2 linked regions of the Stegostoma tigrinum genome follow. The protein of the gene in region 1 interacts with the protein of each later gene in a pairwise test. Links are inferred from orthologs where the notes say so. Each region holds a gene or a part of one and is shown on either strand. Other genes may lie near its edges.

Region 1 (8,221 bases):
ATAAGGCGGCACGAGATAGTGCAGAGGTGGGAGTTACCATCAGGTGGAGGAATTTTTGATGGAACAGGCTTGATGATTTGAGTTTATGAATGCCTTTTTGCCACTCAGCACTCCACACAACTACTCAAAGGAAAATTCTTGGCTAAAAGTCAATTCAAGAACTGTTTGACTTAGCATTTTGGCTCCCCTTTGCTCCTGACTCCAAGATTGATCAGAATTTACAAGTGAAAAGTCATCTCCACCACCACAGACAACAAAAGAATATAAAATCACGGAGAGACTATTTAGAGATTACAAGAATTTGCCTTTCCTCCAGCCCAAGCTACAAAGGATCTTTCAATCCTATTACTGATTTGCAAATAAACATCCATATAAAAAGATATAAACTCTGCTATGGCAAAGTGATCAATAGAGAACGCCCAGGCTCTTGTCAGACACCATTAACATCTTTAAGGTTACAACAAACCCACGCAGTCACCTGCTTAACAACCACTGGCAAACATCAGTGGTTATATGCAAAGAATAAAGTCCAATTTGCAATAAAGCAATATCTTTTGATCCTTTCCAGAAATATGAGCAATGCTGACGATCCCAGCAATTGCTGCCCATCCATAACTGTTTTTGAAGTGACTAACTTAATAAGTCATTTCAGAAGACAGCTAGGAGTCAACAACATTGCTGTTGGTCTTGAGTCACATGTAGGTCAGTACAAGTAGAGATAGCAGCTTTACTTCCCAAAAGAACCCTTGTTAGTTTCGTGATTTCCCAATTAAGCAAGAAAATATACTGTTTGTAATAAATATTGGACATGAGATAATGGTGGCAATTCAACATATTTCTCACAGGATTACCTGAACTTGATGTCTTGTATTTCAAGGAGGCACTGTCCTCGTGGATATCATCCATTTGCCAATATGCTATACAAACAGGTATCCTTGACTTTCTAGAACTGCAGCACATTCATTGAGTTCCGCTTCCAAAAGCAGAAATTACACTTCCAGAAAAATATTTACCTTGGAAGATGTCTGCATTTTAAATAATGCAGAAGTGGAAATAAACAATCAATCATAGTTATAGCTCGACTGCATCTTAAAAATCGCAAAGAGGCACACAAGGCCTGGAGTCTCATATTACACAGATCAATCAGCAAGTATTTCAGTGTCAATGCACAGAAATCCAAGGATTTCACCAAGGTCCAGTATCAAATGCAGATCTTTATCAAAAACATAAAAAGATAACATGCTCACCAGGCGATGTACCTTCCACTTAGTTTTGTCAATTTCACTTTTTATGTTACCTGCCCCACCCAACTTCCACTAATTTTATCATTATCTTCACTCATTCATGCACAGCAAAATGCAATATCTCTCTTCAGAATTGCACCAAGTGCAAAAAGTGCTACAGAGCTGGATTCACAAAAAGTGACTGAACATGCTGGGCAAGTGGAAATCCTGGCAGTTAAAATATTCTTTCCCCATCTCCCTGCTGAGTTTCTATGAGAAGTATGACAACAATGCTGTTGTGTATGGATAAAGACCAAGGAAACATCACGTATTGATATCCCTTCCACCACTCCACGTTCCACAACCTGAGTTTTCACGTCATTGTAAACAAAAACTCAGCATTGCCCAATAAATCCAAAGCCATTTCAACATCATTGTCTGCCTCTACAACAAATATTGATATATTCCCAGGGAAAACAAGAAACTGATATACATCCATAACTTACACACACTGTACAAGTTGAAAACTAGAAAGTAACAACAAAAACTAGGAACATTCAGCAAGTCAGTCAGCATATGGAGATCAAAAACAGTAGCACTTTAGGTGTAGGATCTTCAGCAAACATTACCTCATTTGTTTTTGCCCCACATGCTGATTGGCACAGCAAGTGCTTACAGTATTGTTTCACACTTGTAGATTTGCAGTTTATTTTTGTTATTCCTTCCCATCTCTAACCATCCAGCAAAGCAGAAACATCTCACATGCACCACTGCAACAGGAGTCATTTCAATATATACAGAAATAAGACAATAAAAAGGAGTGACTAATGATCATCTCCCAGATTTCTTAGCCTGGAACTATATCTGATTTGTGCACAAGTGTAATTGTATACAAGTTGTCTATCATTTATTTCCAGCCACTTGGGTACCAATGTCAACACACCTGGTTTGTATGTCAGACAGTCAGTGTTCACTTATTATACATGGGTGTATCAGTACTGTTCTACATCAGCATGGCAAGCTATAAGCTTGCACACCAGCATGTGTTTTTGTACATTGGTACATCAGTATACGATTTTACATATTGGCGTGCCAGCACATTTTTTTGTACACTAGGACGTCAGGGCCCGGGTAGAGGTGGGGCGGGGGGGTGGTGGTTCTAGGTGGGATGCTCTTCAATGGGTCAGTGCGGTTTCAAGGGGACAAATAGCCTCCTTTCACCCTGGAGGAATTCTATGGGTTCCACGGCATGTTTTGGTACATAATCACACTCTGACACGCCAGTGTACAGAAGGACACCATGAAATGCCAATGCACACCAGACGTCAGGGTGCGATTTTTGTACATTGGAATCCATCCCACAGTGAAATTTTGCGTTAGTTATTTAATCCTTGCGCGCACGCGTTTTGCTGTTTGTAGATCTCTGTAAGTACTTGAATGTCAGCGGGATTCACCAGCAGCTCCCCTACAAACCATCCCCAGCCCTCTCTCACCAGGATCGTTTTACTCACGGTTTCTGCCCCGGCTCCTCACTGGACGGTCCCTGCTGGAATGACTTTAGTGACTCGAAGGCCTTCATCAATTTCTCCATGGTTGCCATTTTATTAGGCAGAGAGAAAAATATAATGGGAGCGGAGCAGGAGAAGCGCTCAGGAAAAGCACTTCTTGCCAAGTCAATTCGAGCACCAAACACACCAAACCAGTCTACTCCACGTCAAAGCGTATGGACAGCTAAGAGGCTTCTAACCGCAATATACACGAAAACAGACTTGGTCACAGTCACCAAAACCGGCAAACACCGCCATCTTGCCAAGGGTAATGGCCCACAACCAGTCCCCTTCAACCAAACCTGACGGCACCAGCCACCCCGCCTCCAACCGATTGACTGACGGCCCCGTTCACCAATAGACAATCGACATTTGGCCCCAAGGACCAATTGGAATACAGTGGGTGGGGCAGGTCCAAATTGGAGCGCCGAACCTTACGTCATCCCCACGCGCGCGGACTGCTGGTTGATTGAAATATTAACCAATCGACTATCGGTATTTGTGACCACTGGGCCAATGAAAACCGTTTGTGTCTGGGAGACATTGGACCAACCGAGGCAGCGGACACGATGCTTGAACGCCCTTCAATTCATTGATGGACAGACGAACCAATCCACGGTCGGAAAGTACCGGGAGTTTGAAGACCGGACAGATCGTCACCGGTTTAATTGATGGATTGGTTAACCAGTAAAGAACGGACAATGACAGTGATTGATGGATTAATTGGCCAATCTATATTTGGAGTAATGACGGCGAGCCGGAGGCGGGACTAAATGTGAATTTAACGGCTGGCGCCGCCTGATGGGAAAGGGATGAGTGATGGTTGTGTTGACCAATCAATGGCCAGGTTCGAGCCAACGAGGAAGGGGAAGGCTGGCTGTTTAGGTTGTCTATTTAAAATAAATATAGATTCAGAAGTTTGGCTTGACGACATCGTGGTCTAACTTAGGAGTTGGTTGATGGCTCCGCTAAAGAACCTTTCCATTTGTCTGGAAGTTCATTCCCTTCCATGTGGCAGTTGAACCTGACCATAGTGAGCAAGAGTCCATTGGCCACCTCCTTGTTTGACATGATTTCGTGACTAAGCTAAAGGGAATGTCAGCAGTGAGATACAAGTTCGTTCTTGCTAAGACCTTGCTTGCGTTTTGACATGGACTGCTTCAGTACCTGAGAAGTCAGGAATGGTGCTGAATGTTGTACAATGACCAGTTATAAATCATACAGCACCAGGTGAATTTACTAAGCAACTTCATTTGACAAAGGAGCTGCACTCCAAAAGCTTGTACTTTCAAATAAACCCTGTTGGCCTATAACCTGGTGCCCTGTGACTTATGACTTTGTACACCATAGTCCAACTCCAGTACCTCCACATCGTAATAACCAGTTAGCTTGATCTCTGTAGTGGAGAAGTTACCAGAGCCAATCATAAAGGAAGAGAGAACTGAACACTTGGAGAAACAAACCTGAATTCACCAATGTCAGCATCATTTCATGAGGGCAAGCCACGCTTGACAAACTTGCTGGGAAATCAAATCAGCAAGGCGAGTCATGGGAATCTGGTGGATGTGGTGTATATATAGACTTCCAGAAGGCGTTTGACAAGGTTCCACATAAAATACTGACCCAGGGAATTAAGGGTAGAGTAATGGCTTGGATAGAGAGTTGGCTAACTGACTGAAATCAGAGGCTTGGGGTAAATCAGTCCTTCTCTAAATGGCAAACTGTAACTAATGGTCTCTCAGTCCTCAACTATTATATAAATGATCTGCCAGCAGGGACAGAGTGTAACATAGCAAAACTCGCAGATAACATTAAAATACATGGGAAAGCAGCCTGTGACGAGGAGGTAAAGAGTTTATAGATGGATATTGACAGGCTAGGAGAATGGGCCAGAATCTGGTAGATGGGGTTTAATGTGTATTAAGTGTGAGGTTGTCCATTTTTGGCAGGAAAAATAAAAGGCCAAATTATTATTTAAATGGGAAGCACATTTAAAGTGTGTCAGTGCAGAGGGATGTGGGCATTTTTGTGCATGAATTGCAGAAAGTGGCTCTGCAGATGCAGCATATACTAAGAAAGGCAAATGGAATCCTGACATTTATAGCAAAAGGACTGGATTAAAGAACTGAAAATGTACTGTTAAAATTATATATGGCTTTGGTGAGACCTCAGCTTGAATGTTATATCCAGTTTTGGTCTCCTTACTTTATGAAGGAATGTAGTGCACTAGAGGCAGCTCAGAAGAGATTCATCAGGTTGATTCCATGGATGAATGGACTGTCATACAAGCAGCACTTGTACAGCTTGGGCTTGTACTTACTGGAGTTCAGAAGAATCAGAGGGATCTGTTTGAACGATATAAAATGCTAAAGGGAAGTTGAACAGATGATCCCCACTGTGGGGCATTCTCGAACAAGAGTTTATAGATATAAACTGAGAGGAGGTAGGTTCAAAACTGAGATGAGCAGAAACTACTTCTCCCAGGATTGCAAATCTGTGGAACTCATTGCCCCAGAATGGAGTGTAGGCAGAATCAATAGACTTGAGAAGGAAATAGATATGTTGATGGAAAGTTGGATAAAGTGTATGGGGAGCAGGCAGGAGAATGGAGTTGAGACAAGGAAAAAACAGCCATGATCATGATGAATGGCAGAGTGGACTCAAAGGGCTGAATTGCCTACACCTGCTCCTAATTCCTATGTTCCTATGATTCTCGATCAGTAGGGTTTACAGGGAAAAGGCAGGAAACCGATGTGAGGAATGTCAGATCAGCCATGATCTGATTGAATAGCAGAGGAGGCTCAAGGGGCTGAACAGCTTATTCCTGTTCCTATTGCTTCTGGTCATAAATCTGCTACTCCTAAAACTATGACCTCTCATTCTAGTTGTCAAGGTCATTTACTCCCCATCACTTGACTTTGATGTAGAGAAGAAATATAGAATATGAAAGTAGATTGTGAATAAATAAACATAATAAAATGTGAGAAGGCTAATTACAACAGTATTAGGCAGAAGCTGGAGAAATTAGATTTGGGGGTGGCTCTTTGACAGTAAATCCACATCCGATGTATGGGACCCTTTTATGAACTAGTTGATCAGAGAATAGGATCAGCATATGAGGATGAAAGATAAGAATGGTAAGATTCAGGAACCCTATGACGGCAAGAAATGATGAAAGATTTTTCAAGAAGAGGAAGAAAGAGTATGTAACTTTTGTGAAACTGAAATTGGACAATTCCCTTGAGGAATATAAAGGAAGCAGGAAAGAACCTAAAGAATTGCGAGGATTGAGAGGACCCATGAAATGTTCTTGGCAAGTAGTATTGAGGAGAATCGCCAAGGCATTTTATATGTATATTAAGAGGAAGAGGATAGCTAAGGAAAGATTTATTCCACTCAAGCACAAAGGACGGAATTTACAAATGGAGCCAGAGAAATTGGGTGAGACCTTAGTGAGTATTTTACATTGATATTCACCAAGGAGAAAGACATGTAAGACATAAGATTAGGGAGGAATATATTGATATTCTTGGAGATGTCAATATTAAGAAGCAATAAGTCTTGGGTGTCTTGTAAAACACTTAGGCAAACAGGGATCTGCGCACACAGATCCTGTGCAGACCAGCTAGCGGGAGTACTTGCAGACATCTGTAACCTCTCCTTTCACTGATCTGATTTTCCCACCTGCTTCAAGAAGACCACTATCATCCAGGTGCAAAAGAAAAATCAGACAGCGTACCTTAATGACTACCACCCAATGAATCTGACATCCATCATTATGAAGAGCTTTGAGAGGTTAGTCATGGCACATATCAACTTCAGCCTCCCAGATTGCCTTGATCCACTACAAATTTCTTATTGTCACAATTGTTCCGCGGCAGTTGCTGTCTCTTTGGTCCTATGCTCATTTCTGGAACATCTGGATAACAAGGACACCTACATCAAACTCCTACTTATTGACTATACCTCTACCTTCAAAACCATTATTCTAATCAAACTCACCTTCAAAATCCAAGAACTTGGGCTCTGTTCCCCATTTCTACAACTCAATCCTTGACTTCCTGACCCATAGACCGCAATCAGTAAGGATAATCCTCAATGCCAGTGACCCACAAGGCTACATACTCAGCCCCTTACTGTACTCCTTACACACTCATGGCCATGTGTCCAAGTTCTGCTCTAACTCCATTTACAAGTTGCTGATGACATCACAGTAGGTAGGATCTCAAACACCAACGAGACAGAGTACCGGAAAGAAATTGAGAGCCTAGTGGCATAGTGTAAAGACAAGAATCTCTCCGTTAATGTCAACCAAATATAGGAGCTGGTAATTGACTTCAGGAAGCAGAGTAGAGAACATGCCCCTGTCTGTATCAGTGGCACTGAGGTGGAGATGGTGGTCAAGAGCATCAAGTCCCTAGGGGTGATGATCACCAACAATCTGTCCTGATCCATTCTACAGTCAAGAAAGCACACCAACGTCTCTACTTCCTCAGAAGACTAAGGAAATTCTCATGTCCACAATGTCTCTTACCAATTTTTATAGATGCACAATAGAAAGCATCCTATATGGATGCATCACAGCTTGCTATGGCAACTGGTCTGCCCAAGGCCACAAGAAATGACCAGAGTTGTGAACACATCCGAGTCCATCACACAAACCAGCCTTCCATCCATTGAATCCATTCATAAATTGTCATGGCCATAGGACGTAAAGGGTAGTTATGGAGCAGTGTTCTTCTGACTAGAGGTCTGTGACCAATACTTTTTGTACTATAGATTTGGATGAAATATAATTAGTCTAATTATTAAATTTGTAGATGACACAAAAATTGGTGGAAATCTGGATCGTGTGGAAGGTTATCAAAAGATATAGCAGGATATGCACCATTTGGGGGAAGGCAATGGCCTATTGATATTATTGCTAGACTATTAATCTAGAAATTCAGTGAATGTACTGGAGATTATGGTTTGAATCCCACCACAATAGATGGTGGAATTTTAGTAAAAAAAACAATATGTCTGGAATCAACAATCTACTGATAACCATGAAACCATTGTCGATTGTTGGAAAAAAACCCATCTGCGTCACTAATGTTCTTCAGGGAAGGAAATCAGCCATCCTCACCTTGTACTTGCCTACATGTGACTCCATACCCACAGCAGTGTGGTTGACTCTCAGCTGCCCTCTGAACTGGCTGAGCAAGTCACTCAGTTCAAGAGCGACTAGGGACAAGCAATCAATGCTAGCCAGCCAACAACACCATATCCCACGACTATTAAAAAAATTGGAAAGTTGGGCACAGAAATGGCGGATGGAGTTTAACCTGGCTCAGTGAGGTGGAGCATCTTGGGAGGTCAAAAGCAAGAGAAAATTATACAGTAAATGACCGGACCCTTAGGAGTATGATAAACAGAGGCATCATGAGTGCAAGCTCATAGCTCCCTGAA
Region 2 (8,244 bases), on another chromosome or scaffold:
TGGACAGGCTCCAAGCTGATAGTCCCCCAGTTCCGTACAGCTCCTTCCATAAATCCACATTCAGGAGTGTCCAGGCAGAATCATTGTTTCAGCCTGCTCCTGCCCCACAGAACTCCTCTCTTCCTACCTTGACTCAGTCTTCTATCCCCAGTCCAATCCCTGCCCAAGTACATCCATGATTTCTGATGCTTTATGCAGGTTTCAAAATTTCCAGTGTGCAGGCTCCAGTTGCCTCCTCTTCACCATGGACATGCAATCCCTTTACATGTCCATTCCCCTACCAGGAGGGTCTTAGGGCTCCTTGCTTCTTACAGACTTTAACTGTCCCCACCCACCACAACCCTCCACCGCTTGACTGAGTTCATCCTCACCTTCAACAACTTCTCTTTCAACTCCTCTCATTTTCTTCAGGTCAGAGGGGTGGCCATGGGTATCCACATGGGCCCCAGTTATGCTAGTCTCTTCATGGCACACGTGGAACATTTCATTGTCCATTACTATCCTGGCCCTCACCCACAGCTTCTTCCCTGATACATTGATGATATCATCATTGTTGCTTCACTCTCTCGTCCAGTATTGGAAAAGTTCATGATTTCGCTTCCAATTCTGACCCTGTCCTCACTTTCACCTGGTGTGTCTGTGATTCCTCCCTTTCCCTCTTCGACATCTGTTTCCATTTCTAGGAATTTACTGGCAAGACTCCCATCCCATTCTCTCAGTTCCTCCGTTGCATATGTTCAGATGAGGCCAACTTTGACAAGGGAGCCTCCAAAATGTCCACCTTCTTGCTCAACTGAGGATTCGCCAGCACCGTTGTACAGGGCCCTCAACCAGGTCTATCACATCTCAGACACTCACCCTCACCCCCTCTCTTCCCGGCCATGATACAGTTCTCCTCGTTTTCACCTGCCATCCCACCAGCATCCACATCTAGAAGATCATCACAGAATATTTCTGCCACCACCAGATGGATATCCCCCTCGCTCACATCCCTTGTCTGCCCCCCCAACACCCACCGCCCCCCACCCTGCAACAGCGCCACAGCACCTTCCTCTGCAACCTGTGCAGGTGCAACACTTGCACGTTTACCTCTTCCCTGCCCACTATCCAAGGCCCCAAACAAACCTTCCAGGTGCACTTCCCAGAATCTAGCCTACTGCATTTGCCGCTCACAACGTGGTCTCCTCTACACTGGGGAAACAAAGCATAGACTGGGTGACCGCTTCACAGAACATCTACATTCTGCTCATGAAAGACTATGAGCTTCCAGTTACCTGCCATCTCAACATACCACCCTGTTCACTAGCCAACATCTGTCTCTGGCTTGCTGCAGTGTTCCAGCGATGCTCAACACCTCATTTTCCATTTGGGGACCTTGCAGCCCTCTAAACCCTGTATAGAGTTCAATAATTTTAGAGGGCCTAACTCTCTCATGTCCTAGCCCCCTACCCCACACACCAGACCTTGTTTTCACATAACCTGCCATTACACACTACCTATTGTTAATTACTAAGTCCCCATTAACAACTATTCACCCTCCTAGCCAGGTCATTATCAACTCCTTTGTCTGTCCAACTGCTCTTCTCTCTCTCTCTCTCTCTCTGTCTGTCTTCGGGCTCCATCAAAGGGAGGCAACGGCCTAGTGGTATTACTGCTGGATTGTTAATCCAGAGACCCTGACAATATTCTAGGTCCCAGATTCAATGGTGGAATTTGAATTCAATAAAATATCTGGAATTAAGAATTTGACAATGACCACGAATCCGCCGACAATTGTCAGAAAAACACACCTGGTTCACTAATGTCCTTTAGGGAAGGAAACTGCCGTCCTTACCTGGTCTGGCCTATGTGTGATTCCAGATCCACAGCAATCTGGTTGACTCTGAACTGCCCTCTGGGCAGTTAGTGATGGACAATAAATGCTGCCTAGCCAGCAACATCCTCATCCCGTTAATGAATAGAGAGAAAAAAACTCCTATTGTTTACTCCCTACCCCATCCCTCCCTATTTTCTGCACATAAGCCAACATTTTCTCAGCTAGCATCCATTCTAAAGAAAAGTCACTGGAGTCAAAACATTAACTCCGATTTTTTTCTTCACAGATACTGCCAGAGCCTGCTGAGCTTTTTCAGCAACTTCTGCTTTCATTTAAACACCCCTGCTGCCTTTTATACACTTCAACAGGTTCAGTTTCATTTCCCCAGTCAAAGTAGGCATGGCCAATCAGCTAAGCCACCTTCACCCTGTTGAGATCACTGTCTCTTATCCATGCCTTTATAGTGCAACAGCTCTTACCTCACACTGTCACATACCTCATGTGGGTGTGGGTTATCAGATAACTACCAATTGCCTCCAAACTGCACCACTCCATTGCCCCATGCCATATATCAGATCCCTGCCCATTGCCCCACACTGTACATCAGATCCTTATCACCATCCCACCTATCTTCACTAGCCCCAACCCTACTCTATTTACTTCTGAGCTCCTTTCCCCCTTCCCCTTTTCTGAAGGAGGGCCCTGACCCGAAACGTAAACTTTCCTGTTCCTCTGATACTGCCTCCAGCTCCACAATGTGTTATCTCTGGCTCCAACATCTGCAGTTCTTGCAATCTCTGTAGCACACTCGCACTTGTTTACATATTTGCAAGGAAACGGAGGCGGGAAAATCACGAATCCGGCGCGCGTGCGTGGTGAGGGAGTACGCCGTCACAAACTCACAGGAAACCAGCCTTAGGCCCCATGCTGGCTACTCCCAGCCCGGGCTTCGCAGGCTCTCACAACCACCTCAAGAGGAGCTGGGCCCCTAGGCGCCGAGAATACAGGCCCGGGGCTGTACTCTCTCTCCGCCCTTCCCCGGGCGAAGCGGCCCCCTCCTCGGGAAGAACAGCAACTGGTGGGGGTGGGGGGAGTCCTACTCCGCTGGCCGCCCCAGTACTCACTGTCCAGGTAGTGCTCCAGGTACATCGCGGTCGCCATCTTGTCATCCTTTCCCTACCGGCCTGCCCCGCACTGAGCATGCGCGCTGCCGGCACGTCGCCATGACAACCGCCAAACCCAATTTCAAGGCAGGACTGAACTGGTCTTCAAATTGGAGCGGACTAGAGATTTGCAACTGGTTGGAGGAGTCAGGGTCCTACCAAATGAAACTGTTTATGTGGCTACCCAGCTTCCCAAACCTCTTAAACACAGTACACGATTACGAAGTGGAATAGCTGGTCTGCCCTTCAGGCCGCATTCATCGATGCCAGCAAAATCTCTGTTGGACATTCAGCCAGAAAGTTTGATGGGAGTGAACAGTAGATCCAGGACTATTTAGCTGGAAGCGTTTCTGAGTTTAAAACAACAGTACTCAAGAGAAAAGACAGGCCAACAAGGCAACTGAAGGCTGAGGTCCAACCATTAACTTGCAACATACAGAACAGGTGGTGGGTAGAGAAAGCACTGAAGGCCCAACCAGTGGACGACAGGCATGATGTTTAGGGTTTCTTCCGTGCTGTCAAGACCACTAATGGACCAAACCAACGCCCCCATCCCCATGCTGGCTAAGGATGAAGTGACTCAGCAAAGGTTTAAGAAAAATGATTCTGGGTAATGCAAGACAGGAAAAAAATTGTGACTATAAGAGCTGGTCTTTTTTTTTGAAGAATTTTCAGCGTTGGAACTGATTTCCAGGAATTCTGGGAGCAGTAACATATAAGCTATTACATTTCTATTCTTTTCTGGGATGTGGGAGTTGCTGGTTGGCCAGCATTTCTTGCCCATCCCTAGTTGCCCTTGAGAAGTAGGTGGTGAGCTGCCTTCTTGAACCACTGTAGTCCTTCTGCTGTGGGTTGGCCCACAATGCTATTAGGGAGGGAATCCCATGATTTTTGACCCAGCAACAGTGAAGGAACTGTGATATATTTCCAAGTCAGGATGGTGGATGACTTGGAGGGAAACTTGGTGGTGCAATTCCCATATATCTGCTGCCTTTGTCCTTCTAAGTAGAAGTGGTCATGGGTTTGGAAGGTGCTGTCTGAGGATCTTTGGTGAATTTCTGCAGTGCATCTAGTTGACAGTATATATTGCTGCTACTCAGTGACAGTGGTGGAGGGAGTGGATACTTGTGGATGTAGTGGACTGCTTTGTCCTGGATGGTGTCAAGCTTCTTGAGTGTTGTTGGGGCTGCACTCATCCAGGCAAGTGAGGCGCATTCCCATCACACCCTGACTTGTGCCTCGAAGTAGCGGATAGGCTTTGAGGAGTCAGGAGGTGAGTTACTCGCCGCAGTGTTCCTAGCTTCTGTCCTGATCTTGTAGCCACTCTGTTAATGTGAAGAGTCTGGTTGAGTTTCTGGTCAATGATAACACACCCAGGATGTTAATAGTGGGGGATTCAGTGATGGTGACACCTTTGAATGTCAAGGGATAGTTAGCGAGTTTTGAGAAGATTTGTAGCTCAGGTTGAGGTTCTGGATGTGAGATTGCTCGCTGAGCTGGAAGGTTAGTTTTCAGACGTTTCGTCACTATTCTAGGTAACATCATCAATGAGCCTCCGATGAAGCGCTGGTGTTATGTCCCACTTTCTATTTATCTGTTTAGGTTCCCTTGGGTTGGTGATGGCAGGAAATGACATGGTGACGAAACTTCTGAAAACTAACCTTCCAGCTCAGCGAGCAATCTCACATCCAGGTCAAGGGATAGTGGACAGATTGTCTGTCATTGGTGATGGACTGGGGTAGACAAGGCTAGAAGTCACATGATACCAGGTTATAGTCCAACAGCGATAATGGGAACTGCTGGAGAATCCAAGATAACAATGTGTGGAGCTGGATGAGCACAGCAGGCCAAGCGGCATCTTAGGAGCGCAAAAGCTGACGTTTCGGGCCTAGACCCTTCATCAGAAAGTTTCTGATGAAGGGTCTAGGCCCGAAACGTCAGCTTTTGTGCTCCTAAGATACTGCTTGGCCTGCTGTGTTCATACAGCTCCACACTTTTTGTTATAGTCCAACAGGTTTATTTGAAATCACAAGCTTTGGGAGCATTGCCCCTTTGAGAGAAAGTGAAGAGAGGCAGAGAGATCAAACTGCGCATGGTGTGAATGCAGTATCGACATACTGAAAAGTAAGTCTCTGCAGGTGATCGGAAGTGTCAGAAGCTTTGATAGCAAGTGAAAGGATGACCTATAATCTGATTAATTGAGGCATAAAGATAGTTACAAAAATTGAAAAAAAGTTGGTGCTGGAAACAAACCTAATGGGTGGAATAATATGATAGGTAAAGGAGTCACATGCCGAAAGTCTAATCAAAGTAACAAGTAAACCAAAACTGTACAAACTAATTAAGGTACAGAGATCATAACAAGTTATCAAGGTGATGGTGTCAAAACAGGACAGAAAGGAAGATTTTACAGGTATAGAACACTATGGTGGGGTCACAGGCAACATGACATGAACCCAAGATCACGGTTGATGCCATATTTATGGATGCAGAATTTGGCTGTCAGTTTCTGCTCGGTGATTCTGTGTTATTGTGTATCGTGAAGGTCATCTTGGAGCATGCTTACTCGAAAATCTGAGGCTGAATGTTCTTGACCGTGGAAGTGTTCCCTGACTGGGAGGAAACATTCCTAAATGGCGACTGTTGCACGATGTCCATTCATTTGTTGTCGTAGCATCTGCACGGTCTTGCCAATATACCATGTCTCGTTGAATCTTTGTATGCAGTGTATGAGATAGACAACATTGGCCAAGTCACATGTGTATCTGCCATATACATCGTGGGTGGTTTTCCCATGTGTGATGGTAGTGACCATATCATTGATCTGGTATGTCTTGCAGAGGTTGCCATAACAGGGTTGTAATAGAACATAGAACAGTACAGCACACTACAGGCCCTTTGGCCCACGATGTTGTGCTGAACTTTTACCCTAATCCTAAAGTCTATCTAACCTCCTCCCCTACCTTATACTATCATCCATATGCCTATTTAATAGCTGCTTAAATGCCCCTAATGAGGCTGACTCCACTACTCTCTCCGGCAATGCATTCCACGCCCCTACCGCTGTCTGAGTAAACAACCTACCTCTGACAACTCCCCTTATCTACCTCCAGTCACTTTAAAACTATATTCCCTCAGAATAGCTATCTCCACCCTAGGAAAAGTCTCAGACTGTCCACTCTATCTATACCTCTGATCATTTTGTACACCTCTATCAAGTCGCCTCTCATCCTTTGTCGTTCTAAAGAGAAAAGCCCTAGCTCTCTCAGCCTTTCCTCGTAAGACCTTCCCTCCGTTCCAGGCAACATGCTGGTAAATCTCCTCTGCACCTTTTCCAATGCCTCCATGTCTTTTCTGTAATGAGACGACGAGAACTGGACACAATACTCCACATAACAAGGTGTAGAGCAGATGTGGCCGAACCAGGCTTTTGTATAACTGGAGCGTAAGTCCACGGCTCTTTAACTCGATCCCTCTATTAATGAAAGCTAACACACCATACGCCTTCTTAGCAGCTCTATCCACCTGGGTGACAGCTTTCAGGGAACTGTGAACATGAACCCTAAGATCCCTCTGTTCCTCCACACTGCCAACAATCTTTCCGTTAACCCAAATTCTGCTTTCAAGTTTGTCCTTCCAAAATGAATCATTATGTGGCATTATAGTCAATGTTGTCCTGAAGGCTGGGTAGTTTGCTGCAAATGATGGCCTGTTTAAGGTTTGGTGGTTGTTTGAAGGCGAGAAATGGAGGCCTAGGGATGATCTTGGTTAGATGTTCGTTGCCATTGATGACATGTTGAAGGCTGAGAAGAACATGGTATAGTTTCTACACTGGGGAAGTACTGGATGACAAAGGGTACTCTATCATTTGCATCCAGTGTCTGTCTTCTGAGGGGGTCTTTGCGGTTTTTCATTGTAGCATATTGGAACTGCCGATCAATGCATTGAGCATCATATCCTGTTTTTAGGAGGGCATCTTTCAGCATCTTTAGGTGTCTGTCGTATTCCTCCTTGTCTGAGCAGACCCTGTGTATACACAGAGCTAGTCCATAGTGGGTGGCTTCTTTACCATGTTTAGAGTGGAAGCTAGGAAAATGCAGCATCATGAGGTTATCCATGGGTTTGTGGTAGAGTGAGGTACTGAGGTGTCTGTCCTTGATAGAAATGTGTGTGTCCAAGAATGAGACTGATTTTTAAGGGTAGACAATGGTAAGTCTGATGGTGGGATGAAACTTGTTGATACCTTTCTGCATCATTCCAGTGATTCCTCACCATGAATCCAAAGGAAGAATATGTCATCGATGTATCTGAGGTATGGTGTTGGTTGGAGGTCGTGTGCAGGGAAAAAATCTTGCTCAAACTTGTGCATGATAATGTTGGCATATTGGGGCACAAACTTTGTCCCTATGGTTGTTCCGTGTTCTCGATGAAGAGTTGGTTGTCAAAGGTCAAGATGTTGAGATCAAGGATGAAGCGGATGAGTTATAGGATGGCATCTGAAAATTGGCAGTTGTTGGTGTTGAGTACTGAGGCTGTTGCAGTGATGCTGTTGTATGGGGAGGAAAAGAGACCATTCAGGAGAGCTCCAAGTTGCCACAGTTGTGAGCATTTTCAAAAAACGAAACATGTCTGACTGTGGTAACTACAGGAGAGTCTCCCTGTTGTCAACGGTTGGAAAATTCATTGCCAAGGACCTCCTCAATCATTTCTTCCCTGTGCCTGAGGACACCTCCTAGAATTGCAGTGTGGCTTTTGGCCATGGTGGGGGCAACAGATGTGATCTTTACTGTGACTGCTGCAGGAATATTGCACGTCGTCCGCTTAAAAGCCACAATAATCCCCAAGCTGGTGCTGTACTACCAGCTTCAATACAGCAGATGAGCCCCAGGTGAACAGAGGAAGCATGTCAAGACCTCACTGGCAAAGTATGGCATTCCCACACAAACCTGGAGTCACTGGCCCAAGACCAACCAAAGTGGAGGAGGAGCATTTGGAAAGGCATCAAACAAGTTGAGACTTCCGTTGGGAAAAAAGTGGAATTCAGGCAAAAACAACTAAAGGAGGTCCCTGCCACACCAATGCCCACCCACCCCTTCCCAAGACCACCATCTGCCCTAAGTGTAACAGAGCTTACGGGTATCTGCATCAATCTGTTCAGCCACCTACAGATTCACCCTGATATGGAAGAGAGTCATCTCATCTGCGAAGGGCTGCTAATTATGATCTGATCCAAGGGCAGAAATTTAATCCCACCATGTTGGGGAA

What was found.
Region 2: the proteins of htt (region 1) and ing5a interact in binary tests that used the Homo sapiens proteins (3 or more experiments, as listed by UniProt). The link is inferred for Stegostoma tigrinum from reciprocal best matches to the Homo sapiens genes HTT and ING5.

The regions. Positions count from the first base shown.
Region 1 is NC_081356.1:129,593,244-129,601,464, forward strand, and holds the start of htt (huntingtin), read right to left. Parts: upstream 3,055-8,221; 5' UTR 2,824-3,054; coding exon 2,735-2,823; intron 1-2,734.
Region 2 is NC_081367.1:5,121,155-5,129,398, forward strand, and holds the start of ing5a (inhibitor of growth protein 5a), read right to left. Parts: upstream 3,040-8,244; 5' UTR 2,978-3,039; coding exon 2,941-2,977; intron 1-2,940. UniProt on the Homo sapiens protein: Component of the HBO1 complex, which specifically mediates acetylation of histone H3 at 'Lys-14' (H3K14ac) and, to a lower extent, acetylation of histone H4. Component of the MOZ/MORF complex which has a histone H3 acetyltransferase activity.